2 linked regions of the Anolis sagrei genome follow. The main gene of each other region encodes a partner of the protein of the gene in region 2 in a complex. Links are inferred from orthologs where the notes say so. Each region holds a gene or a part of one and is shown on either strand. Other genes may lie near its edges. The genes, in order: LSM6 and LSM3.

Region 1 (15,538 bases), on a different chromosome or scaffold from region 2:
GGGAAATATCAAATAAAATGGTTGTTTTAAATGAAGAGATACTGGTTCCACAATCACCAAAAATTATCTTTAGCTACATAATCTGATATTCTTATTTAGATTTGCACATGAATCTATAAGATCTGGAGCCCCAGTGGCACAGCTGAGCTGCTGAACTTGCTGACCAAAACATCAACAGTTCGAATCTGGGGAGCGGGGTGAGTTCCCACTGTTAGCCCCAGCTTCTGCCAACTTTGTAGTTCGAAAACATGTAAATGTGAGTAGATCAATAGGTACTGCTTCGGCAGGAAGCTAACCGTGCTCCATGCAGTCATGCTGGCCACATGACCTTGGTTTAGAAATGGAGATGAGCACCACCCCCCAGAGTCAGAAACAACTAGACTTAATGTCAAGGGGAAACCTTTACTATATAAGATCTATTCACCATACAAAACGTATTTCTTCATTTAAATATAACATGGAATAAATAGCCTCTAACAACATTTTTAGAATTATTAAGTGGAAGTCCTATTTATATTCTTATACTACCCACTTCTTAAATTTATATTTTTTGCTTTCATCAACCTCAGTTCTAAGTGTCACTTAGACTTTTATCCTTCACATTCTCTAATGAGTTTTTGATATGTCACAAATGGTTAAGCAATCCACAAGCAAACACAACATCTGAGACACAACAGGTCTTTGTAAATGCACACAGGGACATAGACTGAATTCATTAGCAGAAATAGGTTTCAATGGATCCAATTATTTCTAGGACAGTCAGAAGCATTGTTGCTATAGGATATAATCTGCCACAGAGGTGCTGGCCTGAGACCCATCACCAACACTTAGATTAGTTCACAAGTAAAATCCAGAAAAAAATATCTGCAGAAAGTGGGCCAAGGGTAATTCGAAATTAGAACTTGGCCCTCTCAGTTACTTTTCAGGACAATAATTAGCTTTCCACTTTCAATATTTTTATAAGTGCCCTAAATAAGAGTGCAGAGGGATTGCTGATCAATTAACAGAGATATAGGTGGCACCTTAGGTACCAGCATTGATTTGAATAGATCCAAACACATTATGCCAAAACTAAATGAGGTTCAACAGGCAACCTGAAATGCACACGATGAAACAGAATTCTGCTCTGTGAGTCCAGAAGAGATTTCAGTTGAAAATCAGGATACATTTCATAACCATAAAAACTGTTATGTTGTGGAAGACACTTGCCTATGAAGATGGTGGAGTCTCCTTTTGCTAGAGCAATTTAAGCAGAGCTGGACAACTGTCAGTTACAAAATTAAAACTTTGCAGAGCCTATGCTTAGTAGTGAGTTGGGCATGACCTCTAGTAGCTTTCAACTTATGGGGGAAATTTTATGGCTAGTCCCAAGTAAAGTACTGTACTCCAACTGAATCTGCAGGCATTAGTGTTTTATTTTCTCCAAGGAATGACCCTTGATTTATCTAATCATATCAAAATCAATTTTGGCCTCAAAACCTGTCCTCAACTTATATATGAGGTTGACTTATACATGAATATATGGTACATTATTTCACTGATTCAACAGCTGTTATATTGGGACTAACAACTGGATTTAGCCCTATAGAAATGTATATTTCAAACAGCACTGAGAAAAAAAGTTCTAGAATCTGAATTAAACTGTAGTCTAGATATACACTTATTACTTAGACAGTCCACAAGAACTTAGATGGATTTATTACCAAGGAGACATGGATATGATTGTGGTGGATGTCCAACCAAATCCAATGGGATGTTGCTATTTGTATATAGCTATGTACTTTTACATTTTAATGGAGTATGCATTCCAAAATTGGGTGGGGTGATACCCATGGCTTGATGTCATATTATCTGTTTCTAGTATGAAAAAGGAAGAGCAGCCGACCAAGGGCAAGATGGATGGATGGTATCCTTGAAGTGACTGGCTTTACTTTGAAGGAGCTGGGGATGGTGACGGCCAACAGGGAGCTAAGCATGGGCTGGTCCATGAGGTCATAAAGAGTAGGAAGTGAATGAATGAACAACAAAAGTATATTCATCACCTAGTAAAGAGTTTAAAAACACACAGGATGTGGTGGTTAGTATCACATACTTACCCAGTCACTTGGCGATGAGAATGGCTGTGAGGATAAAAATACAGAGTGAAATGAGAAAACCGACCTCGATCTTAATCCATTATTGACAAGAAAAACATACTGCTTTCAGCCTTAACCTTTATTCCTTTGGAAAACCAACTGCGTAGATCCATACTGATATCTTCTCTCATTCTACCATTATAAAGGGTGGTTTGGAATGGGGGGAAAATCAATTTTTTCCCAATATTGTAGCTGTTTTTAATTTTGGGTGAGGAATCAGAAAAACAGAATTAAAACAGTTAACTACACACAGTTCATTCACAACTTTTTTTTTGCAATTCCATGGTTGCCCAGTTTTGATTAACATTCAGGCAATTCAATTGCGATTCTAGTATGATTCTTTAAAATGCTTTTGAGTTGATTTTCACATCAGATGTCAGCAAATTTGAAAATCTATTAGGCTGTACCTATGCTGCAGTATGAATTTGGTTTGATGCCACATTTAAAATGCCATGACTCAATGCTATAGGATCCTGGAAGTTGTAGTTTGACAAGGCACCAGCACTCTGTGGCAGAGAAAACTTTTAAAACTACAGCTCCCAGCACCATGACAGCTTCCAGCACTGTGATTGAGTCCTTGTGGGGAGAGAGGGTGGTCTAGAAATAAAGATTTATTATTATTTGTTTATATTTTTACTTGGCCATAGTGGTCAACACCTTGGTTGCATCCAGAATGGACTACTGTAATGCATTCTACGTGGGGCCTAACTTTGAAGATGGCTCAGAAGCTGCAGTTGGTGCAAAGATCGGCAGCTAGATTACTAACTGGAGCTAACTATAGGGAGCACTCTATGCCCCTATTAGAGCAAGTTAAGTTTCTGGACCCAATTCAAAGTGCAGGTTATCACCAATAAAGCCCTATACGCTTTGGGTCCAACCTATCTTCGAGGCCGCATTGAGATCTACCAGGAAGGCTATTTTCTCAGTCCCACCACCCAGGTACGAGAGGGCCTTCACCATGGTGGCCCGCTCCAGCTCTGGAATACCCTCCCAAGAGAGATTAAGTTAGCTCCCACTCGCCAAGCCGTTTGGGCTAGTTTAAAAACATGGCTTTTTAGGCAGGCTTTCGACTTTGTATAATTTATTGTCAGAGTAAGAATTCACCGATTGTTCACTCCGGGCACTTATTTATTTACAACATTTTTACCCCCATCCCAGGGGGAACTTCTGACAACCCAGCAGTTCGAAAACATGCAAATGGGTGTAGATCAATAGGTACCACTCCGGCAGGAAGGCAACAGCGCTACATGCAGTCATGCTGGCCACATGACCTTGAAGGCGTCTATTGATGCCAGCTCTTCACCTTACAAATGGAGATGAGCACCAACCCCCAGAGTCAGACACGACTAGACTTAATGTCAGGGGAAAACCTTTACCTATTCTTTGCCTATATAAAGGTTTTAACCTTTAAAGCCCTAAACAGTTCTGGCCCAGACTACCTGTCCGAACGTCTCTCCTGTTATGAACCATCATGAAGTTTAAAATCTTCAGGAGAGGCCCTGCTCTCGATCCCACCACAACCGCAAACGCAGTTGGTGGGAACAAGAGATAGGGCCTTCTTGGCAATGGTCCCCCGTCTTTGGAATTCTCTCCCCAGGGACATCAAGCTGGCCACCTCCCTCCTGTCCTTTAGAAGAAAACTGAAGACTTGGCTGTGGGACCAGGCATTCGATTAGTGGACAGTGGCAACTGGAAAGAAGACTTAGGATACCCCTGATATTGAATTTACCCAGACTTGGATTTGGTTTTAATCTAGCATGTTTAATCTATTGTTTAAATGCATTATTTTAATGTTTTAATGTATCCGTTATATGGTGAAAGCATAATACGGTGCTTGTGTGAGGCCACCCTGAGTCCCCCCTCGGGGGGAGAAGGGTGGGGTAGAAGTGTGGGTTGTTGTAGGCTTTTTCGAACTACATGGCCATGTTCTAGAGCCATTTTTTCCTGACGTTTCACCTGCATCTACGGCAAGCATCCTCAGAGGTAGTCAGGTTTGTTGGAACTAGGAAAAAGGGTTTATATATCTGTGGAATGACCAGGGTGGGACAAAGGACTCTTGTCTGCTGGAGCTAGGTGTGAATGTTTCAACTGGTCACCTTGATTAGCATTGGATGGCCTGGCTGTTGTTTGGTGTGGCTTGTTGGTGCCTGGGGCAATCTTTTGTTGAGAGGTGATTAGATGTCCCAGATTGTTTCCTGTCTGTTGTTTTGCTGTTGTAATTTCAGAGTTTTTAATACTGGTAGCCAGATTTTGTTCATTTTCATGGTCTCCTTCTTTCTGTTGAAATTGTCCACATGCTTATGGATTTCAATGGCTTCTCTGTGTAGTCTGACATGGTGGTTGTTAGAGTGGTCAAGCATTTCTGTGTTCTCAAATAATATGCTGTGTCCAGGTTGGTTCATCAAGTACTCTGGTATGGCTAACTTCTCTGGTTGAAGGAGTCTGCAGTGCCTTTCATGTTCCTTGACAAATTCATTCTTTTACATGTTTATGTATTGTTGTTTTATGTATGGCGCTTCAAAGTTCTTCTGTGAGCCACCTGAGTCCCTTCAGGGAGATGGTGGTGGGGTATAAATAAAATTATTATTCTTATGCTGCCTTTCTCTCACAATAGTACCCAATGCAGCTTCCAGAAACAACTCATTTCTTATTACATAGTGTTGTGATGTGAGCACTGAGATTTGGCTTTAGAGCAGGCTTAAGCCAACGTGTTTCCTCCAGTGGTTTTGGACTTCAACTCCCACCATTCCCAACAGCCTCAAGCCCCTTCCTTTCCCCCCTCAGCTGCTTAAGCTTTGAACTGGATTATATGGTAGACCAGGCATGGGCCAACTTGGACCCTCCAGGAGCTTTGGACTTCCAACTCCCACCATTCCTAACAGCCTCAAGCCCCTTCCTTTTCCCCCTCAGCTGCTTAAGCTTTGAACTGGATTATATGGTAGACCAGGCATGGGCCAACTTGGACCCTCCAGGAGCTTTGGACTTCCAACTCCCACCATTCCCAACAGCCTCAAGCCCCTTCCTTTTCCCCCTCAGCTGCTTAAGCTTTGAACTGGATTATATGGTAGACCAGGCATGGGCCAACTTGGACCCTCCAGGAGCTTTGGACTTCCAACTCCCACCATTCCCAACAGCCTCAAGCCCCTTCCTTTTCCCCCTCAGCTGCTTAAGCTTTGAACTGGATTATATGGTAGACCAGGCATGGGCCAACTTGGACCCTCCAGGAGCTTTGGACTTCCAACTCCCACCATTCCTAACAGCCTCAGGCCCTTTCCTTTGCCCCTGAGGGCCTGATCTACCATATAATACAGTTCAAAGATTAAGGAAAGAGTCTGGGGCTGTTAGAAATTGTGGGAGTTGAAGTCCAAACCCCCTGGAGGGCCCAAGTTGGCTCAGGCTTCCTTTAGAGACCGGGGTTCAAATGCTTGCTCAGCCATGAGGCCCACTGGGTGACCTTGGGAGTCAGACACCCGCTCAGCCTTAAAGGAAGGCAAACTCCCCACTCTGAACAATCTTGTCATGGAGTTGCCTTAGGTCGGAAAGGACAATATAAAACGCATTAAACCCGAAAGGGCCAAAGCTGCTCGAAGAGGGGAAGGCCGAAGCCACAGGGTATAAAGTGGCAGAATGAAGAAAGGCCGCTTGTCTTTCATTCAGGAAAGGGCTGTACCAAGAGGCGCGAAGGTGGGGGGGGGGGGCAGAAATGGGCCTTTCCAAGAACCCCTCCACAAAGGAAAGGAAGAGGAGCAGCAAAGCCTCGTCTCTGACCCCTCCCCCGCCGCCAAAAAAACCAAACAAGCCGAGTGGAACGTTCCGAGCGCGAGAGCACAAACAGTTGGGCGCGCGCTCACCGCCCTCCCTGACTTCTCGCCCTCAGTCACTCACCCGCGCCCTCTGACGTCCGCTCACCGTCTCGAACGCCTTCCCCGAACGAAGAACGACGGCGATGATGGATGATAGGCTGCTCGCCGAACCAATCAGCGCTTTTCGGCTTCACGTGGCAGCGACGGTGGCCAGCGCAGGCCAAAACTCTTCGGTGATGGAATTTTTGATTGGAGGCTGTTCTTTCTTTCTTATGTTTGGGAAAGGAGAAGCTTTGGGCCCATCCACACAACCCTATATCCCAAAATATCAAGGCAGGAAATCCCACAGTATCTGCTTTGAACTGGATTATCTGAATCCACGCTTGGATAATATGGGATTTTCTGCCTTGATATTCTGGGATATAAGGCTATGTGGAAGGGTCCTTTGCTTCTGAGGGCCCTTCCACACAACCCTGTATCCCAGAATATCAAGGCAGAAAATCCCACAATATCTGGGTTATCTGAGTCCACACTCAGATAATGTGGGATTTTCTGCCTTGATATTCTGGAATATAGGGTTGTGTAGAAGGGCCCTGAGTCAAGAGCCCCAAGGGCCCTGAGTCTGGGCACGACAATTGAAGAGTGATATTAACAAGCTGGAATGTGTCCAGAGGAGGTCGACTTAAATGATCAAAGGTCTGTAGAACAAGCCCTATGAGGAGTGGCTTAAAGAGCTGGACATGTTTAGCCTGCAGAAGAGAAGCTGGAAAGGAGACATAGAATCATAAGAGTTGGAAGAGACCTCATGGGCCATCCAGTCCAACCCCCTGCCAAGAAGCAGGACTATTGCATTCAAATCACCCCTGACAGATGGCCATCCAGCCTCTGTTTAAAAGCTTCCAAAGAAGGAGCCTCCACCACACTCTGGGGCAGAGAGTTCCACTGCTGAACGACTCTCACAGTCAGGAAGTTCTTCCTCATGTTCAGATGGAATCTCATTTCTTGTAGTTTGAAGCCATTGTTCTGTGTCCTCGTCTCCAGGGCACCAGAAAACAAGCTTGCTCCCTCCCTGTGGCTTCCTCTCACACATTTATACATGGCTATCATATCTCCCTCAGCCTGAGGGCTGTGTATAAATACATGAGGGGAAGTCATAGGGAGGAGGGAGCAAACTTGTTTTCTGCTGCCCTTGAGACTAGGATGCGGAACAATGGCTTCAAACTACAAGAAAGGAGATTCTGAACATTAGGAAGAACTTCCTGACTGTGAGAGCTGTTCAGCAGTGGAACTCTCTGCTCCAGAGTGTGGTAGAGGCTCCTTCTTTGGAGGCTTTTAAACAGAGGCTGGATGGCCATCTGTCAGGGGTGATTTGAATGCAATTTTCCTGCTTCTTGGCAGGGGGTTGGACTGGATGGCTCATGAGGTCTCTTTCAACTCTAGGATTCTATGAAAAGGCACGCAGAGTATGGGAACATTAATAAGCAGCCCCCCCCCTCCTTTATTGAATTATTGAGCATGCAAAATAGTGGAATGTGTGTGCTGTAGAATTAATGCAGTTTGACACCACCTGAACTGTCATGGCTTCCACACAGCTGAATAAAATCCCACATCTGCTTTGAACTGGAATATATGGCAGTGTGGACTCAGGTAACCCAGTTAAAAGCAGATATCTTGTAATTTTCTGCCTTGATATGGCTGTGTGGAAGAGCCCTAAATGTTATGGAATCCTGGAAGTTGTAAACTCTTAAGGCTCCTCAACTATTTAGCAGAGAAGGCTAAATAGCGTGTAAAACTACAATTCTCTTTATTCCATAGCATTGAGACAGGGCAGTACAAGTGGTGTCAAACTGCATTAATTTCCAGTGTAGATGTACTTCAAGGTCCCTTCCACACAGCTATAAAATCCACATTGAACTGGATTATATGGCAGTGTGGACCCATAATCCAGTTCAAAGCAGATATTGTGGATTACCTGCCTTGATATTCTGGGTTATATGGCTATGCGAAAGGACCCATAGTCTTCAGGTTAGACTATGTTTTGGACTTCCAACTCCCAGCATGGTCAACTGTCAGGAATTATGGGAGCTGAATTACAAAACTAGAAAAGATTGAAATTAGTGAAATAATAGTTGTAATGAATTACTCTAATAACCTGCTTTTGTCAGAAGGTGTGTTCAAGAAGGGGGATTATGTCCCAGCATTCAGAAGCTTAATTTTTTCAAAAAACAAAACAAAAACTTTGCACACTTACATGGTCTGCAATTGCTTGTTCCAAATTTGACCCTTTAGCAGCTTCTCCCTAAACAAATCAGAAATAATAATAAATCACATCTCGCTTTATCTCTTGATTGAGGACCCTTCCACACAGCCATATAATCCAGAATATCAAGGCACAAAATCCCACAATATCTGCTTTGGACTGGGTTATCTGGGTCCACAATGCCATATATTCCAGTTCAAAGCAGAAAATGTGGGATTTTATTCAACTGTGCGGAAGTGGCCTGAGATGCTAAGAAAGGTCACACTGATTCCAACAGAATTTCTTTTATTAAGAAACACACATGAAGGATTGGACTCTGTATCACAATCCTATGTATGTTTTACTCACAAGCAGAACCAACTCAAGCAGCTGAGTTTCAGATTTCATACTCCACCAGTTTCATATTTCAAGAAATAAAGTGCTTGTGGGATTTCCTGTCTCACTAGTCAATATACATGGCCTTGGGTACTCAGCACTTTGACTTCAGGCAGACTAATTCACTATTATGTATATTTAAGACTGCATACTCATGAAGCATTATACCTGAGAGAATAACTTGTAAACCAATGAGATAGCTAACATGTCAAATAAATCATTCTGGCATTGAACTGGTATTGAAAAACCATGCAAAATCAAATATTTGTGCACAATTCCTGCAGAAAAGAAGTGACAAAAAACCTCAAGTAGATGTTAGGAGAATTGAAGATTTTGGTGAGAAATCTCTGTGCATTAGAATAATTTAAATGTCACTGCAAACGATATTGTTAGTTTAATTGTCTTTCCCCCATTTAGAAAATAATTATTGTTTAGAAAAAAATACTGTCTATAGGATTTTTAGATTTGTGGATGCCTGAAATTCTGGGCTGGCAAACTTATTTTCTTATACATACTATCAAGAGTGCATCTGCACTGTAGACTTAATCCAGTTTGATACCACTTGAACTGCCATGGCTCAGTGCTAAAGAATCTTGTGGGTTGTAGTTCTACAAGGTCTTTAGTCTTCTCTCCCAGGCTGGGACCTCTTCTACACTGCCATATAATCCAGATTATTAAAGCAGAGGATCCACATTATCTGCTTTGGACTCGATTATATGAGTCTACACTGCCATATAACCCAGTTCAAAGCATATAATCTGGATTTTATATGACAGTGTACAAGGGCCCTAGATCTACACTGCCCTATAGCCCATGATCAGATCCCAAATTATCCTCTCTGAACTGGGTTATATGAGTCTCCACAGCAATACAATCTGGAGTAAGCAGATAATCTGGGATTCGGTCATGGGATATAGTGCAGTGTAGAAGGGTCCCCAGAAAGTGCTGGTGCCTCACCAAACTACAACTTACAAAATTTCAAAGCATGGAGCCAAGTCAATACTTTAGTAAGGATGCTGAGATACAGATATTTCTAATATAGAGGTGTTTTGTTTTGCTTTGATCTACATTGCATTTATTTAGGCAAATGCTATAATGATGGCAGTATGAGGAGAGCAGCACTAAAGGCACTATCACAAAAGTTACAGGTAACCCGCATGGCCATATATCCATGAATGAAATATGGCCAGACAGCTTGTATGCAAATCCCACTCAACTGCATAACCTTTGCTCTCTATTACATAAGTGACTATCTCTTGAGTCATGGTCCGAAAGTATTTCTTGTTTACTACGTAATTTCCATTAATTTTTATTATTTAGTTCCTCTGCCAAGCAAAGCAGGAAGGACACTCTGAGTGCTGGGATGATTGTAGTTTTTCTCTCTGGAGGATTGATGTCAAGGGAAATGAGAGTAAACAGTCTGAAAAAGCCCGCAGTTTCATGTCTGGCCAGAAGAGGAAGCAGAGACAATGCCTTGGGTATTGTTATTTTTTTTTTTTGTTCAAGAAAATTGATTTTAAACAAAAGGCACAAATAATTCAGAAAGTTTTCTGCATAAGCTCTGCAGAAAACCTTTTGCACCATTTCCATACATTTCATTATTGGCTGTGCGCAAGGCAGGAGTGTGGAAGAAAGGGATAGGTAAAGTGTGGCAAAATGCATTATAGCCAATAGGCAATAGAAGTAAATATACTATAGCTCAGGCATGGGCAAACTTTGTCCCTCCATGTGTTTTGGACTTCAACTCTCACAATTCCTAACAGCTGGTAGGCTGTTAGGAATTGTGGGAGCAGAAGTCTGAAACACCTGGAGGGACGAAGTTTGCCTATGCCTGCTGTAGCCAGTGAGACAGATAATATAATAAATTCAGTTTATTTTAGCTTAATAGGATCAGTAGTCAATATCCTAGTCAATGCTATATTAATTAAAAGCCATTTAAATGCATTCAGGATTAATTTCTATATAAATATGATTTTTGCAAATCTGTGAATAATCTGCAAAAGTCAAAATTGCAAATATGAAGGGCCAACTGTAGATCACATCAAGGAAAAACTGAAGCTGTTGAACATTTTCCTGTTAGATCACTATTTAGAAGCTCTACATGATGAAAAGGTCGGAAACTCATTTCGGTCTGACACACGAAAGACAACTGTGAGAGCTGTATGTGGCTGCCATTATCTAATGAACAGGGCAGCACTTAACATTTTTTTGATTTGATAAATGTAATTCATTCATTCCTGTGCTTTTCCAGCCCAGTCAATCTCATTTTATTTGGATCACTTATTCTGTAATTTACATTTTATGAGGAAAAATTATCCGTGAGATATTTCTTGGCCCTATCATCATTTCTAACATATTTCTATGAAAGCAATTAAACCACATTTTCAAATATTGTACGACATTTTGTGGCCCCCTTATCCACAGATTTAGTATCCACGGTTTGACTCAGCCACACTATAAAGCCTATTTCCCCATTAATGTTTGTATGGCTCTCTAGACACTTAAATAAATTTGTTTGGTACCCCTTCCAAATTTCAGGTAACCTTCGGTGGGAGTAGGACCACTAACAATGACAACAACAACAAGAACAACAACAATAAAGCCTGCAAATACTTTAATATTGTTTTAGGGGGATTCCCATCCCAACCAGTGAGAAATCTTCACCAATATCACCCAGAAGGTGAAAGGAATGGTATTGCAATATTGCACTGCATCTGGAGCAAAATATTTTAAAGGTTTTTGTGGGACTTAAGGTCTCTTGGGGGTGCTAATGCAGTACCCTAGAAATCTGCAATTTCCCACATTTGCTATATACAATTACAAACTACTTTCAAAAACATTTTATTAATTTACAAGGCTTAGTCACTATGCCCTCGTGATAGGCACCATTCCTTCTTTCAAGGAAACATTATCATTGAAAACTAAACTTCCAACTCTGTTCTTTAGAAGTCATGTGACACAAGGATATAGAATGCAGATTGTCAATCTCAGATCTCCCAACATCTTGTCTATATCCAGTAAAGTCCCCAACCTATGGTCCCAACCACTAGTGGTCCACAAGAACTAAAATATGGTCCACGGCCTATCCATTACTAGACTGTTGCAACAAGAGCGTCTGGTCTCGTGAAACCCTCTTATAGTGCCAAGGCTTCTTAAATATGGTTTTATATGGGTGAACAGATGGCGACAACTGGATGGCATATGTTCTGTATCAGAAACTAAATCTGATATGGCCTATCCAATGCAATTTTCTGAATCAGCACCCCAAATTACCAAACTGAATCTAAAGTTGACCCAAAACTGATTTGTAACTCTTTCGGTACAAATGTTGGAGTGTGATCCCTGGTCAAAGTGGTCCCTGGTCAGAAAAAGGTTGGGAACCACTGCTGTAAAGTATCCATAACACCAGAACCGGGTGGCATCTTTGGCTAAGTAAATTTAGAGGATATTGTATCAGTGGCCTAGGGCACCCCCTAATTCCAGATAGTGATCCATGGCTGTGTAGGACATTTGGCTAACTTGTTCTTTGCCATAGTTTGTGCTCACCATTTGGCCAGGCCAAAAATTAAAATGCAACAGACACCTGCACTTTTCCATGCAGAATCCACTTTCTTGATGGTAAATAGTGTTTAAAATGAATATTAGATATCATTAGGCTTATAATTCCAGATTCTGATAAGCATCAGAATATAAAAAAAGATTTATTTGATAACAGGACATGTTCACAGAAAAAGCAAAGTAACAGTAAATTCCCTCCCATAATGCCTCAAACTTACACAGGGACAACTGTAATCTTCTACAACTGTTTAGTTTTTCATTTGGTAAGGATATTTTTTAAATAATATTTGTTATAGTGCCTTTAGTGGTGACATTTGTAAATAATGGATCCTTTCATAATGCTTTGCTGAGACTGAATGTTTAGCACTGGAAAGGGCAAGTGAATATCATGTTGCAAATGGTATCTTCACGCAGCAAGTTTTTTCTTAACAATTGTATCAAAACTGCTACATCAAAACTTCATCTTAATGCTTGTATAGCAAACCACAAGTTACTGACAACACTAGGACAGCATGACAAACCATCATACAGTTGTGTTGTCGATGGCCGGAATCACTGGGTTGCCTTGAGTTTTCTGGGCTGTATGGTATTGTTCCAGAAGCATTCTCTCCTGACATTTCACCCACATCTATGGCAGGCATCCTCAGAGGTTGTGAGGTCTGTTGGAAACTAGGAAAATTGGGTTTATATATCTGTGGAATGTCCAGAGTGGGAGAAAGATCTCTTGCCTTCTTGAGGCAAGTGTGAATGTTGCAATTGGCCACCATGATTAGCATTGAATGGCCTTGCAGCTTCAAAGACTGTCTGATTCCTGCCTGGGGGATCATTGGTTGGGAGGTGTTGGCTGGCCCAATTGCAACATTCACACTTGCTTCAAACAGACAAGAGTTCTTTCTCCCACCCTGGACATTCAACAGAAATATAAACCTCACTTGCCTAGTTTCCAACAGACCTCACAACCTCTGAGGATGCCTGCCCTAGATGTGGGCAAAATGTCAGGAGAGAACACTTCTGGAACATGGCCATACATCCTGGAAAACTCACAACAACCCATCATCTAGTTGCTTGAAATCTGGCTCGTGATACATGAATTCAACCCTGCCAAGAAGCCATTGTTTCTTAGTCACCCTCAGATAAAAACTAAAATCTGTATTTCATTGTTGACTCAAGCTTTGACTTGTCTAGACCATGGCTTGCCATACTCTCAAAACCCACAAGTATGGCATGTTCGCAACTTTTTTTTCTTAGGCTCCTGGCCATAAAAAAGGGGAGAGGGAAGGCAGAAATATATAAATCAGAAAGAAAAAATAGAACGGAGCAGTTTTATTTGGTCAGCTGCCATTGAATTTAGGGTTTAAGCAATGAACTATAGTTAACACAAATCATGACTTACCTTGATGTGAAAACATGCCCTTGAGTTTATTCTATTTTCCTGTTTCAGTTTAAAACTGAAAATTACCTTTGTGTGTAAATTAGCTTTGATTTGCTGTATAACTATGATTTTATAATGTGAAGAGGAGAGGAGCTGGCCCTTCCATTATCCTCTAGAGCAAACCCATGACAATGAAATGTGGAAAAACATAATAAGAAACACCCTGCTCAAGGCCCATTTTTTTGTATTTAATTTTCTCTTATTCTTTTCATAGTCATTTTTTAAGATAAAAGAATTATGTACAAAATCTATATAGGAAAGTAAAAATGAAAAACCTTGTTGAACTATTCTCTTCACTGAAAGCACAACCAAGGGCATGAAAGAGCAATACTTCAGAACTGCAGTAAATTCAGCAAAGAGGTGCCTATCACAAGTAATATTCATAAATTTTACTAACAATGAGCTGAAGTTAACAGGTGAGCTGTGAAATGGCTATTTGCTGATGATGCTATTTTATGTAAGCTAGTTGCAGAATAATTACTGAAGGGCTCCAAAAGATCAAACAGAAGGTAGTAGTATTAAAATGGAAAATGCAGTTAAGTATAAACAAGTATATGGTGGCACGCATAGAAGATTTCATCATTGTCATCGTCATACAATAATCACTTGTTACTGCTGCTGCTACAGTAAATACAACATTAAGATACATAGATGAGCTAGTAAGGATTCGCAAAAAACATCGCATAGACAGGAAGAAGTTCATCTTCTCATAATAGTTTTTTTTTCCGTGTCAGGAACAACTTGAGAAATTGCAAGTTACTTCTGATGTGAGAGAATTGGCCACCTGCAAGGTTGTTGTCCAGGGGATGCCTGGATGTTTGATGTTTTTTCATCCTGTGGGGGGCTTCTCTCATGTCCTCGCATGGGGGAGCTGGAGCTGAGAAAAGGAGCTTACCTGCTCTCCGCGGATTCAAACTACCAACCTGTTGGTCAGGAGTCGTGCCGGCATAAAGGTTTAACCCATTGCATGACCAGGGGCTTCCTCATAATAGTAGAAACTGGAATCATCCATAGATCTAAATGTTATGAGATACTGGAGTGATAGAAATAAGTTCATTTTCACACAATATATATAACCTGTAGTGGTAGCTGTTATCTTCATGGTTTTAAAAGGAGATTAGTCACAGCAGATAAGGTTTGTTATTCTCAGAGACGGTTTGCCTGTGAATACTGGTGGCTGGGAACGTATCTGGAATGATGCTATTGTAGTCATGCCTTCCTTGTGCATTTCCCCTATAAAACTGGTTGGCAAGTGGGAATTAGAGAGTTTAGTGTTCTGATCTGTCACAGATGCCTTTTTATTTTAGAGAAAAAAAGATTATTATTTATCTAAAATTATATCTATGTACAGGGTTCTTAAAACATCAATGAAATCTAGACATTGGGTCAACTTGCCATGTTCTGTTGTCAACCAAAGAGCTTCCCCCATTTTTGTGTGTCTCTGAGATTGGGTTTTACTTTACTTAAGTGATCCCTCATTGTCCGAGTATGATGGCCTTCCTAGAGCAGTGTCTTGACAGTAGATACATAGGTGACTGTGGAGCCCTATTCCTGACCCGCATGTTCTTCCACAGTGAGAACAACAGTTTCTATATGGAAGGGGGTTCTGATCAGGGTTGTCTTGATGCCACCTCCTTTTGGCATGATTCTCCCTTTCAGCCGCCATTCATACCTCTTTGAATTCCACAGCACTGCTGGCAACAGCTGACCTCCAGTTAGAGCACTCAAGGGCCAGGGCTTCCCAGTTTTCAGTGTTTATGCCACAGTTTTTAAGGTTAGATTAAGGTTATCTCTGAGATAGTCCAACTTGCCTTATTACCAAGAAATACTATTTGTCTCATTTTGTAATGCCTACTCTGACTAACACAGCTTTCTGGGGTGCCAGACAGAACATTTTTCCTATCACCTTCTACATAATCTTTTGAAACAGAGATGTCAGGGACTGAAACTACTCTCTGTTCATATTTTTAAATGG
Region 2 (15,487 bases):
TAGCAAAGCCTCTTAGTGTGGCTATAAAAGTCACTGCAAAACGCCTACACACATCCTTCCTGTTTTCTTCTTACGCCCCTCTACTTTCCTCTATGCACCTGTTCACAACTGCTAGATGTAATACTGTTGCAGGGAGCATAAAATTGAGACTATAAATGTACCTAACCATTTTAAGTCTTGAGTCATTGATATTTATAAAATGACGAGGAAACATTTTGTTCTTTAAGGATTACTGCTCAGCACGTTGTAACTGCCTACGTAGGACTCCACATTAAGGCAACATTTCATCAGAAACAAATGGATTAATTTGATGATAATACTTTGCCGCATAGTACATTGAGTTACATTATTGATGAGATAACAGGCCAGTTACATTGCTATCCAGATCAAACATAATCTGAACACAGGCAGCACCACCTAGTGTTTCATGAAGATCCAAAGTGTTCCGCAGAGGCAGGAATCATGCAAGGTCACAGGCACAGAGGGCAAATACGACAGTTTGGAGTGGTGAGTGTTGTGGAAAATGAAGAACAGTTGTTGCCAAATGCTTGGAGACTGATTGTACATATATAAAAATATAACAGCAGTGCTAAATAGAGAAAGTTGAACAATGCTATGCCAGCACTTGCTGAATCGTGCCAAACCATTTCATTACACAGAACACAATGTGTCAATCCTCCTCCATTATTCAAGTGTAATTATAATGGCTCAAATCCAATTTTTTGATTAAGCTAGAATGTAGCCAATGAATCACTGAGAGGTTGATAAACCAGCATTTTAAGTCATATTGATTTAATGGATACCTATTGCGAAAAAAGACAGGGTAGGAAAAAAAGATAATCATTATTATTAACAATAATTGATTTAAGACTAAGAACTGGACTTAGGGCAATGAAAGCCCTTTTACGTGTGCAGCATAAACAGTTAGGATGAGTCATCTGCATCACTTTAACCGCTTGGAAATTTTACTTTTTAACAGTTATTGTCACTACTAGGGAAGAAAGAGAACTGGTTTTCACTTCATGATCATCCTGTATGTCTTCCTCACTGCATTTCTGTAGACCTTCTGGCATTTTTTGCAGAGAGATACAATTACTGAAGTTTATATACACAGTGTGCATGTAGCCCAGGCGTGGGCAAACTTTAGCCCTCTGGGTGTTTTGAACTCCAGCTCCCAGAAATCCCAGCCAGCTTACCGGCTGTTAGGAATTGTGGGTGTTGAAGTCCAAAACACCTGGACTTTTGCCCATGCCTTATGTATCCCCTTTAATCTTCTTCAGTGAATATCACTTAAAACAGTAAACATATAATGCAGTCCTAACTGATTTGCACTAGATGTGGTCAATTGGAACCAAACAGAAACAGAAATAATCATGAGAATACTGCACCACACTGAAGTAAAAGCAGTGTGTGAATAGTGCTTATACATCAGCAGATATACAAAATAAGTAAATGAAATTTATTTAAAAAAAATAGGAGAGCAGTGCCCACAGACATTAACTAAAATGCTGAATACACCAATCTGATGCAGAAGGGAATGTTACTTATATTATTCCAGGTAACACGTTTTATAACATTTATTTCCCAAATCAAGTCATGAATTCACAATACACAGTCTAGGTTGTAAAGATCTGTGTAAAATTACGTGCAGAGTCTTTATATTTAAGAGGAGAAGAAACCAGTAAGTTGAGGTCCAAACAATCCAATTTCATAGTTTCAGCCAACCCTCAGTGGAGGAGCGACAAGTACGACTCCATCTCCTCTGACAAACAGCATTGGGATATTTCTCTTGGTGGACTATGAAAAGAGAAAGCAGAAATTTTCAGGCTATGAAAAACAAACCAAAACATAAAATCTGCTGTAAAAATTTCAAGTTACTTTAAAAATGTCAAAGCCCAGACATTAAAAAAACACATTTTCTAGCAGTAAATCTTAAATAAAAAAAATTATACAAACAGAAAAACAATAACTTGTATTTTAATTTACACATTACTCAAGTTAAATCTAGTTTACATGTAGGATGTTGTATAGATCTATAATAAGTAAATAGAGATCCAAAAGATCCATTTTAGATCTACATCTAAACTAGCACTTGACATTTGCAGAATATTCAAATGTCTTACTTTGTAGATTTCCTCATACGTTTCTTCATCAATCTCTATTGTTGTCACAGTTTCTTCAACATCACCCAAAATCATATTTAAATGCTGGTCGTAAGCCTTTGAAAATGAGATGTTCATAATATATTTAATTTTTAATATTAATGACAATATTTACATCCTTATAAACAATTTACATCTCCAGCAGAGAACCAAACAATGTTTATTTTTGGATAAGGTAATGCCTGAAATTTTTGTTTTTATTCAAAAATATATACAAAGCCTTTAACCCAAAGTAAATAAGATGGCAACCCTGAAACAATCAGGATTCCTTTTACCAAGAAACAAGGCACACATTAAAGAACCAGGTATGGATGGAACTGTAGCTATGCCTCAAAGAGAAATAGTAGTGGTGGGGGAATAAAGCAGGTGTTTATTTGAACATAGGGAGACTCCATCTTGAAATATTTTCTCCCATATAAGAAAGTGTTTGTTTTGATTCTTTAGCTCCAATGAGCCAGTGCAATAAAGGATAACTGGTTTACCTGACAATAATTCAACAGGGCAGGAGGGGGTCTGGGTTCACTTGCATATCTACCTTTGCATCCTAAACAGTCTGCTTCCCACTCTTCAGTTCAGATGAAGATTAAAACCCAATCCTCCACCTGCCAGGCATATTCCCTGGCAACATGCATTCACAGATCTCACCTGCTGTCTGTTTGGGGTGTCGGAAGAAAAAGTGGCCATATCAAGAGGCAGTTTTTTTTTTTACACAGGTGAAAGGTCCCTTCTGTGAGCAGTCTACTGTTCTGCTGCCACTAAGCCAGTTCAATGATTCACATGAGGACACTGCACTTTGAAAACATGAATTGCACCTGCTCATTCATTTATAGAAATGCCATCTCAGGAAGCCTTCTGAGAAATAAGATAAATCCACACTTTTCAAATTGTATAGGCTACATGAAAATTTACCATTTTCAAAGGATATTCAAAGGATTGTGATTAGGGATGTAGAGAAACTTCATTTAACATGTGCATGTTGTTATTTTTGAATACAAATCTGCTCAAACGTGTTGAACGTCTCTTCTGTCTTTTGTGGTAATTAATGCATTAATCTTTGTTGTAAAAGTTTTTGGATGAACACTAGCCAAATTCTATTTTATAGTGCAGTTTACCATCACCATGCATTTCAATAGAGTTTCACTTACATGTAATCTGCCTCGAAGTTCTCGGTCATTTCTCATTTTCACATAAATTCGTTCATCAAGACTAAGTCTGATGAGATCCAAAGGTTCTTCTACTGTATTAGTAGTTTGTTGCTATAAAGAAAGAGATCACAAATAATTGCTATGGATAAAACGATACGGATGAACTCAATGAAGAAAAGCCTTAGATGACATTTACTCTGGCTTCCTTGATATGTTATGCAGCCTTCCTCTTTTCCTACCTTCTACCTTTCTAAGCATTGTCATTCTTTCTAGTGAGTCATGTCTTCTCATGATACATCTAAAATACAACAGTCTCAGTTTAGCCACTTAGTCACTTCTATAGAAAAGCTACTTAGGAAGCAAAAAGTACTTCATTTCATTACATGACACCTGTTTTTAATTTCTTGATTCTATCCATCGAAAATGCGGTGTTACTGTTGTCACACAGAAGAAAAAATCCACTTAAAATCCGGTTTCTGGCTCACTAAACTACCCCAGAATTCTGCAGGAGGCAGAAGCCAGATTTTAAGTGGATTTTTTTTCTCTAGTGTGATAAAGTGGTTAGTGCTCTTCCCAAGCATTATTGTCTTTGGGTTGCTGTAAGTTTTTTGGACTATATGGCCATGTTCCAGAAGCATTATTTACTGATGTTTCACCTGTATCTATAGCAAGCATCCTGAGAGGCTTGCCACAGATGCAAGCAAAATGTCTAGAGAAAATGCTACTGGAACATGACCATACTGCCCAAATGTTGGAAATTACAGCCTTCTTCAAGCCTCCTCTAGTAATCTGTTAATATATTCTGTTTTCTTACTGTTTTGTATGCCTGTTCTGATATGTAGCTTCTTTTGCTCTATGTTTCATGAGAGGTTGTGGGAGGGGCTGCACACCACATGATCTGATCTGAGACTGTTCAGACCTCAGACTCCATTTTAGATTTCTTCTTAGACTCAGACCAACACTTGCCTGCTGTTGTTGAAAGAAAGAAGCCTTGTGTCATCTGCACATAGAAACTATCTCAAATATATCTGAAATTGGACTGATAAGCTGTGTACCTGTGTTATGCTGAACATGAAGGCTGTGAGTAAAGCATTTTTTTTCAAAGCCTACAACTGAAGACATAATAATAATAATAATAATAATAATAATAATAACAACAACTTTATTCTTATATCCCATCACAATCTCCCCAAGGGAAGTTGAGGCGGCTTACAGGGGGATCAAGCCCAACATAAACAAAGGTTACAAGTAACATAATTAAAAACATTTAACAATAAAATATACTAAAACAATAAAACCATTGGAGTAAAAAAAACATAATAAAAGACATTGACACATACTATATTTGGTTGTATACTATTTGAGAAGATTCTACTCAAATGGGTTTTTGGCTCTTATTTATTTATTTATGACATTTATATGCCACCCTTCTCACCCTGAAGAGAACCTCAGAGCAGCTTACAAGATAGTAACCTACGGATGTGAGAGCTGGACCTTAGGGAAGGCTGAGCGAAGGAAGATAGATGCTTTTGAACTGTGGTGTTGGAGGAAAGTTCTGAGAGTGCCGTGGACTGCAAGAAGATCCAACCAGTCCATCCTCCAGGAAATGGGGCCCGACTGCTCATTGGAGGGAAGGATACTAGAGACAAAGTTGAAGTACTTTGGCCACATCATGAGGAGACAGCAAAGCCTGGAGAAGACAATTATGCTGGGGAAAGTGGAAGGTAAAAGGAAGAGGGGCCGACCAAGGGCAAGATGGATGGATGGCATCCTTGAAGTGAGTGGACTGACCTTGAAGGAGCTGGGGGTGGTGACGGCCGACAGGGAGCTCTGGCGTGGGCTGGTCCATGAGGTCACGAAGAGTCGGAGATGACTGAACGAATGAACAACAACATACATACACACACACAATACATTATATTATTAGCATCTTACAATATCTGTATTGTATATTACTATATTGTATAACTCTTATAGTATAATCTGCAAATGGTTGTGAATGCCATTTTCCAAACCAAAAAACTCACAAACAATCCAGTGATTCTGGTATGAAAGCCTCCGACAACACATTATTGTCTTTTCTAGTGAGTCAAGTCTTCTCCTGATACATATCAAGTATGATAACGTCTGGGTGTATCTATACTGCAGAATTAATGCAATTCGACTTTCACTACCTTGGCTCAATCCAATGGAATCCTTGGATTTGCAGTTTGATGAGGCACATCGATCTTTGGCAGAGGCGGCTAAAACTACACCTCTCAGGATGCCATAACATTCAGCCATTATGTGGTGTCAAACTACATCCATTTTACAGTGTAAATGCAGCCTTGGTTTAGTCACCTTGGCTTCTATAGAAAATTCACTGAGAAACCACACTCCTGCATCAATTCTGCAGTGTATATACACTTGGATTCAGAAGGATGAACATGTACCTTATGACAAGACTTGCTCTCCAAAATGAACTCCATGCAAAATAAGGCATTACATTAGGAATTGGGATAACATTAGGAATTGGGACAGTTCCATCCTCCTCCTGATATGTCATCTGTCGGGGACCTCTCCCTGCAGCACCAACTGCTGCTCTGGGCCAGAGTGAAGAGAGAGGGGGCCAGGGGACAGTTCCACCTTGTTTCCTGTGCTATTCTAATAATACAATATAATGCAATGTAATATAATATATTGTATATACATATAGGTAAAGGTAAAGGTTTTCCCCTGACATTAAGTCCAGTTGTGTCTGATCTGGGGTGTGGTGCTAATCTCCATTTCTAAGCCAAAGAGCTGACGTTGTCCATAGACACATCCAAGGTCATGTGGTCAGCATGACTGCATGGAGCGCCGTTACTTTCCCGCTGGAGCGGTATGTACTGATCTACTCACATTTGCATGTTTTCGAACTGTTGGGTTAGCTGAAACTGGGGCTGACAGCAGAAGCTCACGCCACTCCATGAATCTGCGACCTTTCAGTCGAGAAGCTCAGCAGCTCAGCACTTTAACCCACTGTATATTGTATATACATATAATATTTATAATATTATAATGTAATACAATATAATATGATATTTTAATAATTATATATTTATATTACATGTAATATTACTAATAACATTACAATATAATGGTATAGTACAATATAGTAATATTTAATACTGATGTGGTACTATGTTAATACTATAATATATAATATAATATACCTCTGAGGATGCTTGCCATAGATGCAGGCGAAACGTCAGGAGAGAATGCCTCTAGACCAGTGGTTCTCAACCTGGGGTCCCCAGATGTTTTTGGCCTACAACTCCCAGAAATCACAGCCAGTTTACCAGCTGTTAGGATTTCTGGGAGTTGAAGGCCAAAAACATCTGGGGACCCCAGGTTGAGAACCACTGCTCTAGACCATGGCTATACAGCCCGAAAAAACCTACAACAACCCAGTGATTCCGGCCATTGTATGTATATATCCCTTGTAAGCTGCTCTGAGTCCCCTTCGGGGTGAGAAGGGCGGCATATAAATGTCGTAAATAAATAAATAAATGTTAAAATCAGCCCCCCTTCTCCCTTTCATTTCCTCCCCAAAAGAGACGCAGGAGATAACGCGGTCACCCACCTGATCAACCTCGTCCGCCATTTTTTCAAAGGCGGTTCGAGTCTCTTCTCGCGGTATTTTATGCCCGGTCCGCTGTGTTAGCGGCAGGCGCTCTAGACTTGTTTTAGAGGCACTCTCACAGGCGCTCACTTCCGGGTCGCGTCCGTTTCCACAGAGCTTGGCTTCTATATAGTAGTGCTTTCGGACTCAATTTCCCAGAATCCCTCATCATGGCCCAAGGGTGTTGAGGATTATGGAAGTTGGAGTTCTAGGGGGAAAAAGAGGGATTGGGCAAACTTGGGCCCTCCGAGCGTTTTGGACTTCAACTCTCACCATTCCTCCCAGCCTCAGGCCCCTTCCTTTTGCCTCTCAGCCGCTTAAGCGGCTGAGAGGCAAAAGGAAGGGGCCTGAGGCTGGGAGGAATGGTGAGAGTTGAAGTCCAAAACGCCTGGAGGGCCCAAGTTTGCCAAGGCCTAGGAAGCCAACTTAGATCCTCCTCTTCCTCCTCCATCTCTGGCTGCGCCGGCACGCCCCCTAGTGGCCAGTGGCGCGCTCGCGTTCTGTCTCCATTGTTTTCCCCATGCGGGAAGGAAGCCCCCGAAGGAGCCGCCAGCGATGGGCGACAGCAGCAAGCGCAAGGGCCGCCCCTCGCTGCAGGGCGCCGGCAAGAGGCCCCGCGGGGACGGGAAGCCAGGCGGTGAGACCCCGAAAGAGCCATGAAGGCCGTGATGGAGGGAGGGAGGGAGGGGATAGATACACAGAATGCCCCTGACACACTGTAGAATGTAGAAGGAGCCCCCGGTGGCGCAGTGGGTTAAACCCCTGTGCCGGCAGGACTGAAGACCGACAGGTCGCAGGTTCGAATCCGGGGAGAGGCGGATGAGCTCCCTCTATCAGCTCCAGCTCCTCATACGGGGACATGAGAGAAGCCTCCCACAAGGATGATAAGAACATCAAATCATCTCTTGGGCATTCCCTGGGCAACGTCCTTGCAGAAGACCAATTCTCTCACACCAGAAGCGACTTGCAGTTTCTCAAGTCGCTCCTGACAAGACAAAAAACAAAAATGTAGAATGAAGTTTGGCACTGCCATGGCTCAAGCTATGGGATCGAGAGCCCTGTCGCTTTAAGGGATTTGGCCTTCTCTGCCAAAGAGTCCTGGTATTGTATTGTCTAAGGCAGGGGTCCTCAAACTAAGGCCCGGGGGCCGGATGCGGCCCTCCAAGGTCATTTACCCGGCCCTCGCTCAGGGTCAACCTAAGTCTATAATGACTCAAAAGCACACAACAACAATAACAACAATAACAATCCTATCTTATCAGCCAAAGGCAGGCCCACATTTCCCATTGAAATACTAATAAAATTATATTTGTTAAGATTGTTCATTTTAATTATTGTATTGTTTTTAATTTTTTTTTTGCACTACAAGATATGTGCAGTGTGCATAGGAATTCATTCATTTTTTTTTTCAAATTATAATCCGGCCCTCCAACAGTTTGAGGGACTATGACCTGGCCGTCTGTTTAAAAAGTTTGAGGACCCCTGGTCTAAGGCTTTCATGGCCAGAATCACTGGGTTGTTGTAGGTTTTTCGGGCTATATGGCTATATTCTCTCCTGATGTTTTGCCTGCATCTGTGGCAGGCATCCTCAGAGGTTGTGAGATGCAGGTGAAACGTCAGGAGAGAATGCTTCTAGAACATAGCCTTATAGCCTGAAAAACCTACAACAACTCAGTGATTCTGGCTATGAAAGTATTTGAACATTTTCCCATATATATATATTTATGGATTTTGTGCAGGAGAACGTCCCAGTGGATTGCACTCTGTTTCTGGTTAGTCACAACCCCTGAGGATGCCTGCCACAGATTCAGGTGAAACGTCAGGAGAGAATGCTTCTAGAACATGGCCATATAGCCCGAAAAACCTACAATAACCCAGTGATTCCGGCCATGAAAGCCTTTGACAATACAATACCAGCAAGCGTCCTCAGAGGTTGTGACTAACCAGAAACAGAGTGCAATCCACTGGGACGTTTTCCTGCACAAAATCCATAAATATATATGGGAAAATGTATTGTCAAATACTTTCATAACCGGAATCACTGAGTTGTTGTAGGTTTTTCAGGCTATATGGCCATGTTCTAGGAGCATTCTCTCCTGATATTTTGCCTGCATCTCACAAGCACTGAGGATGCCTGCCAAAAATGTAGGCAAAATGTCAGGAGAGAATGCTTCTAGAACATGGCCACATAGCCCAAGAAACCTACAACAACCCAGTCCTGGTACTTCACCCAACTGCAACTTTCCATAGCAGAGTGGAACCGCATTTATTCTACAGTGTAAGACCCCATCTGCGGCCCCTTCCATACAGCTGTATGAAACCCCACATCTGCTTTGAACTGCGTTATATTTCAGTGTGGACTCAAATAACTCAGTTCAAAGCAGATATGGTGGGATTCTCTACCTCGATATTCATGGCTGTATGGAAAACAGAAAGTGTAGGATTTTATTCAACTGTGTGGAAGGGGCCTGAGAGCGTATCAATAACCATTTACAGCTTTTGGCACTCTCTGGCCAGGATTCCATTGCATAACTCTGTACAAAACCGAACGAAAGGAAACAACAGAGATTATCCGTCTCCACCTTTTAAATGATTTTGGCTTCCTATGGAATGAGCATTTATTAATCTTCCAGGATGAAATGCACCCCTCCTTTTCCAGAATCGGCTTTCCAAAAGACTCAGCGGAAGCGTTTGATGTGTGAATGTCTTCAGCATTCCATGCTCTGCTGCTTTATGCAACAGGCACGTGAACAGAAGAGACTTTCGCCCAGTTGCTTCCAGCAACTACATAAGGAAAACTTGCTGTATAAGAAGAGGCTGTTAGACTAAGCAAAAAGTTTCAGATGAGGAAAATGACAAAATGTTTCAGAGAAGAAAAATCGAGCTTTTCTTTTTGCTTTTTTCTAAACAGCTTGATCAAGAAGAGAAAAGGCAACAGACAGTAGCTTTTGTTGAACCATTTTGGAGTGCGTTGTTTTCAAAAAAATTTATCTTCCAGACCAGACATGGGCAAACTTTGGCCCTTCAGATGTTTTGGAATACAACTCCCACAATTCTTAACAGCCAGTGCCATAGGCCCCTTAAAACATGCTGAACATTTTCCTATCTAAAACTGCATTCAAGAATCCCTCATGTTCTTGGAAACTAAGCAGTGTGAAATATTTGTATATCTTCACCCCAATGAATGCTAGCTGCTACAGGTTATATTTCAAAGAAAGGAACTGACAAAGCCATCTCTGAGGCCTCTTCTGCACTGCCCTATATCCCAAGTTCTGATCCCAGATTATCTGCTTTAAACTGGATTATATGAGTCTCCACTGCCAAATAATCTGGGATAATCATATAATCCTGAGATATAGGGGCATTGTGGAAGGGTTCTGAGTCTTCTTCGCTTAAGAAAACCCCATTAAATTGATGGGGTTGCCATTCGGCAACGGGTGACTTGAAGACATGTACGCACAAGTTGCTTTGCCTTATTTATTTATTTATTTATTTATTTGTCATGTCAGAAGCAACTTGAGGTTACAGTTATCATGTATTCAAAAACACAAACAAAGTTTAAAACTTTGCATTATACTAAATGTCCTTTGACCAGAAGCAGGCCACTTGGGGCCCTTCTCCACAGCCCTATATCCCAGAATATCAAGACAGAAAATCCCACATAATCTGAGCGTGGAGTCAGATAACCCAGTTCAAAGCAGATATTATGGGATTTTCTGCCTTGATATTCTGGGATATAGGGCTGTGTAGAAGGGCCCTTGGAGTGCCTCTGGTATCGCTGTAAGAAGGTTCATGTGGCAGGGCTCAGTGTGGAGAAGAGCAAACCACTTACTACAGTGCAGCTTGAGCTCCAGTGCTTTGCCTTGAAAGATGATACAAAAATATTGTGAATAAAAGTTTTTGTTATTGGCTATTTGATCACTACATATTTTAATTACAGTAATAGTATTAAGGTAATAACCCTAGGATAGGCTTGTCAGAAATTGGAGTCAGCTTTAAAACTTGTACGAATATTAATATTCCTGTATTTTATACTACCCAGAGTATTCTGCCCCAAGGACTGTACAGTTTGAAACCTTACATAAGCAATAATGGAGGAAGTAGACCCAGGTGGTTGCAGTTGCATGTTTAGTCTTCATTGTGCTATTAGCCTTCAGACATTTGCATAGGATGCTTGATTTCCTATCACTTGGTGGCTTGAAATGAAATGTATAAACTGACATTATATGTCATTTTTCTCAGTTATAGTTTATGTTCTCATCTACTCTATCTAAAAACAAGCCATAAAGACACAGCATGTGGGAGTGCTGCATTTTTAGTTTCCAAGGTTCAGCAGCTTTCATCATTCCTTGTTTTTAGAAATAGCAGTTTCTTCTTTCCCAGGATTGTTTAGAACAGTCTAAATAGACAGGTAAAAATATACCTCTGCCATCAGGCGTTTAATGAATGACGAGGTGCAGGCTGCTGGAGATGCTGGAAGTAAGATTGGGGGATTTCCATCTAAATGATGCTGGAAGTAAGATTAAGATTTCCATCTAAGTGTGTTTGAATAGGACTGGGTTTGAATGTAGATAATTATGGGAAAGAAAGAAACACAGAGAACACTTCAGCAGTTATTAATATTTACATTGGGGTCCGTTGCATATTATAGTGCATCAAAGAGATAATCACTTTCCCCCAAATGTGTGATTTCAGTTTTCTCTATCCTACCCCTCATTTGATACAGATGATTTTGAAGCTGAAAAACCCAAAAACACAAAACGTTTGCCCAAGGCTTCCTCCGAAAAAAAGAAGAAAAGAGAACATGAAGAAAGTGTTTCTTCCTCCTCCTACAAAAATGCAGAACAGAAGGCCAAAAAGCCCAGAGTTAAAGAGGAAAATAGCGCTGTAGAAAGACAAAGATCCTGTAAGAAGGGAGAGAGATCCAGGTGAGTGACTGTATAGATCAGGTTTTCACATAAACAACAAACCAGAATTGCTCTGATTTTGTACTTCTTGCAGCAACAAGCGAAAGCTTAGCACTGTGTTTGGTTCCAAGAATCGTAAACCATGAGTGAGTGAACTCCAGTTTTAGGTTCTGATTTGTTAGGAAAGAGATAGTTCAGGAGTCCTGGAGCTTTTATTTATTGATGACTTCCATCATAGTTTGACTGCTTCTGTTGGTAAGTGGATCCAAATAAGGGTAATAGGATAACACCCTCCTGGTGTTCAGAAAAAAAAAAGAAGAACACCTGGCTTTGCAATCAGGCACAATGTAGCATGCAAATGATGACCTTAGGACTGGGTTTTATGTTTTAATCATTTTATGATATTTATATGTTTTAACTATTGCATTGATGTATTTTATTTTATGTTGTTGAATAAGCAGTATTAAATATTGCCACTCTGTACACCTGCAAGGGTGAGAAGAGTAGGACAGAAATATAGCAAATAAATAAATAAAATGTGTTAATGCATTGCTTGTAAATCAGAGGTGGGTAATTAGTGTATTTGTACAATACGAAGACACATTTTCCCTGTATAAACATTTCTAAAATCGGATGTGTCTTAGAATTTCAGGTGTATCTTATGCATTTTTGTTGTTGGTGGTGGTACTGATATTAGGGTGCATGTTAGAATCAATGGTGTCTTGCAATGGAAGTATATGGGAGTCAGGACTCAGTTCCCCCATCTCTCCCAAAGGACTCCCCACAAATCCCCAAAAGCTATGCCAAGTAAATATACAATCAGCCCTTCACACTTCTGGGTTTAACTTTTGTGGTTTTAATTAATATGTTCTCTTTAGGAATTTCTAAGTCCTCCAGCACAACACTATGGTCAACTTCTGCTGACTGACAGAAGCTATATAGCCACACTGGAAAGCATTTCTTTAGGCATTTGTTTGTCATCAAGCATGAATCTATGGTCAGTTTCCAGTGGAAGGTGTTTTCTGATGTAAAAAAACCGACAATTTTTCATTCCCATTTTTCCACCTTTGTACGGGTCCTGTGTTTCCCCAGGGAATATGATCAATAGACTATATGGTGTATATACACTGCAGAATTGATGCAACTCGATATCACTTTATCTGCCATGGTTCTATGCTAAGGAATACTGGAAACTTTAGCATTGTAAAGCTTTTAGCCTTCTCTGCCAAAGAGAATTGGTACCTCACCAAACTACAAATTCCAGAATTCTATAGCATTTGTTGTTCATTCGTTCAGTCGTCTCCGACTCTTCGTGACCTCATGGACCAGCCCACGCCAGAGCTCCCTGTCGGCCGTTACCACCCCCAGCTCCCTCAAGGTCAGTCCAGTCACTTCAAGGATGCCATCCATCCATCTTGCCCTTGGTCGGCCCCTCTTCCTTTTGCCTTCCACTTTCCCCAGCATAATTGTCTTCTCTAGGCTTTCCTGTCTCCTCATGATGTGGCCAAAGTACTTCAACTTTGTCTCTAGTATCTTTCCCTCCAGTGAGCAGTCGGGCTTTATTTCCTGGAGGATGGACTGGTTGGATCTTCTTGCAGTCCAAGGCACTCTCAGAACTTTTCTCCAACACCAGAGCTCAAAAGCATCTATCTTCCTTCGCTCAGCCTTCCCTAAGGTCCAGCTCTCACATCCGTAGGTTACTACAGGGAATACCATGGCTTTGACTAGGCGGATCTTTGTTGCCAGTCTGATGTCTCTACTCTTGACTATTTTATCGAGATTGGACATTGCTCTCCTCCCAAGAAGTAAGCGTCTTCTGATTTCCTGGCCACAGTCTGCATCTGCAGTAATCTTTGCACCTAGAAATACAAAGTCTGTCACGGCCTCCACGGTTTCTCCCTCTATTTTCCAGTTGTCAATCATTCTTGTTGCCATAATCTTGGTTTTTTTGACGTTTAGCTGCAACCCGGCTTTTGCGCTTTCTTCTTTCACCTTGATTAGCATTAAGCCATAGCAATTAAAGTAGTGTCAAACTGTTTAATTCTACACTGCAGATGAACCCATTCACTCAAAGTGAAATGTAGTTTCTTTGAAAGAAGCTAACTTGCAAACATGGGCATGCCAGAGGAAAAGTGCAAAATTAAGTGAGAGCAAGTGTTGTAATAGATGCCTGCTCATTTATTCTTGCATGTATTATAGTGGCTTGCAGAGCAGTCCTCAAAAGAAAGATATAAAAAAAGAGATCACCATCAAAAAGAAAGAGGAAGAGGAGGAAAGTGAAGATGAGTGGGAAGATGTCGAAGGTAATACAGCTTTGGTTTCCTTCTTCATAGATCATGATTCTTTCATTCATTCATTCATTTAATACAGCAGTCTTTGGGCTTATTCTCTAACTAAAATCTTCTTCAACAAGCCAGATTTTATCCTATCTCATCTACTTTTGTATTATTTTTGTTTACCACTGAGTTAAGGTTATCCATGCTTTAATGTTCAAAAGTGATTTTTTTTATAAAAAAAAGTTATTTGATTTAAACTAGCAAGTCAACCGCTGAGCTGCTGAACTTGCTGACCAAAATTTGGCTGTTCAAATCTTGGGAGTGGGGTGAGCTCCCGCTGTTAGGCCCAGCTTCTCCCAACCTATCAGTTCAAAAACATGCAAATGTGAGTAGACCAATAGGTACCACTTCAGCGGGACAGTAATGACATTCCATACAGTCATGCCAGCCACATGACCTAGGAGGTGCCTACGGACAACGCCGGCTCTTTGGTTTATTTATTTATTTACCACATTTATATACCGTCTTTCTCAGCCCAGAGGCGACTCAGGGCGGTTCACAATTGGCAACAATTTGATGCCTCAACAGTTATAACAATAAAACAATCATAAAATAATGTTAAAAACATTTAGCATAAAATATAATAATATTTAAAAACCATACAAAGCCATAAAAACATTGTCGTGAGTGTCTCCATGTTGTCATTATTCAATTGCATTGTCAAGTCGTTCCATGATTCTGTATAACTATGCTGTATTTGGGAAGGCCCGCTCAAAAAACTAGCTTTTCAACTTTCTTAGAAATGGAGATGAGCACCACCCCCCAGAGTTGGACACAACTAGAGTTGATGTCAAGGGGAAACCTTTACCTTAGCAAGTCACACTGAAGAATGTTTGAACCACTATATCAAGATATGCATTTTGTTTCCAGAACTTCATGAGCCTGAGGTAGAGTTGCTGGAAAAGGTTGCTGCACCAACGCTTCCCAAAGAAGCAGTTGAAATAGAGATTGAGACCCCAGAACAGGCAAAGAAAAGAGAGAGAAGGTAAGTTGAGCCCCACAAGCTCAGTGTCCAAAGTTTATTTATTTATTTCCATCACTTTTATTCCACCCATATCAGCCCGAAGGCAACTCATTTCTCCAAAACGACTTAAGCTTTGGATTTAAGGCATAGATTTTAAAAACTAAAGATTGAAAATGCTCATTATCCTCAGAAAATGAAGCTTGAATGATAGCTAAAATATATAATTACCTTCAGAAAATGAAGCAATTATTTGAAGATATGAAGATGTGCTATTTTGAATACTTTTTTTGCTCTTCTGCCTTTAAAACAGCCACTGTGGGCAGGATCATT

Evidence for each region.
Region 1: LSM3 (region 2) and LSM6 share a complex: the UniProt entries of both Homo sapiens proteins name them as parts of the precatalytic spliceosome. The link is inferred for Anolis sagrei from reciprocal best matches to the Homo sapiens genes LSM3 and LSM6.

Annotation. Positions count from the first base shown.
Region 1 is NC_090025.1:47,635,586-47,651,123, reverse strand, and holds the start of LSM6 (U6 snRNA-associated Sm-like protein LSm6), read right to left. Parts: upstream 6,104-15,538; 5' UTR 6,021-6,103; intron 2,121-6,020; 5' UTR 2,097-2,120; intron 1-2,096. UniProt on the Homo sapiens protein: Plays a role in pre-mRNA splicing as component of the U4/U6-U5 tri-snRNP complex that is involved in spliceosome assembly, and as component of the precatalytic spliceosome (spliceosome B complex).
Region 2 is NC_090022.1:52,138,607-52,154,093, forward strand, and holds LSM3 (U6 snRNA-associated Sm-like protein LSm3), read right to left. Parts: upstream 7,014-15,487; 5' UTR 6,933-7,013; coding exon 6,912-6,932; intron 3,419-6,911; coding exon 3,308-3,418; intron 2,220-3,307; coding exon 2,124-2,219; intron 1,798-2,123; coding exon 1,717-1,797; 3' UTR 1,446-1,716; downstream 1-1,445. Other genes in the region: XPC (DNA repair protein complementing XP-C cells), read left to right, coding at 7,506-7,587, 11,677-11,878, 14,057-14,160, 15,064-15,178. UniProt on the Homo sapiens protein: Plays a role in pre-mRNA splicing as component of the U4/U6-U5 tri-snRNP complex that is involved in spliceosome assembly, and as component of the precatalytic spliceosome (spliceosome B complex).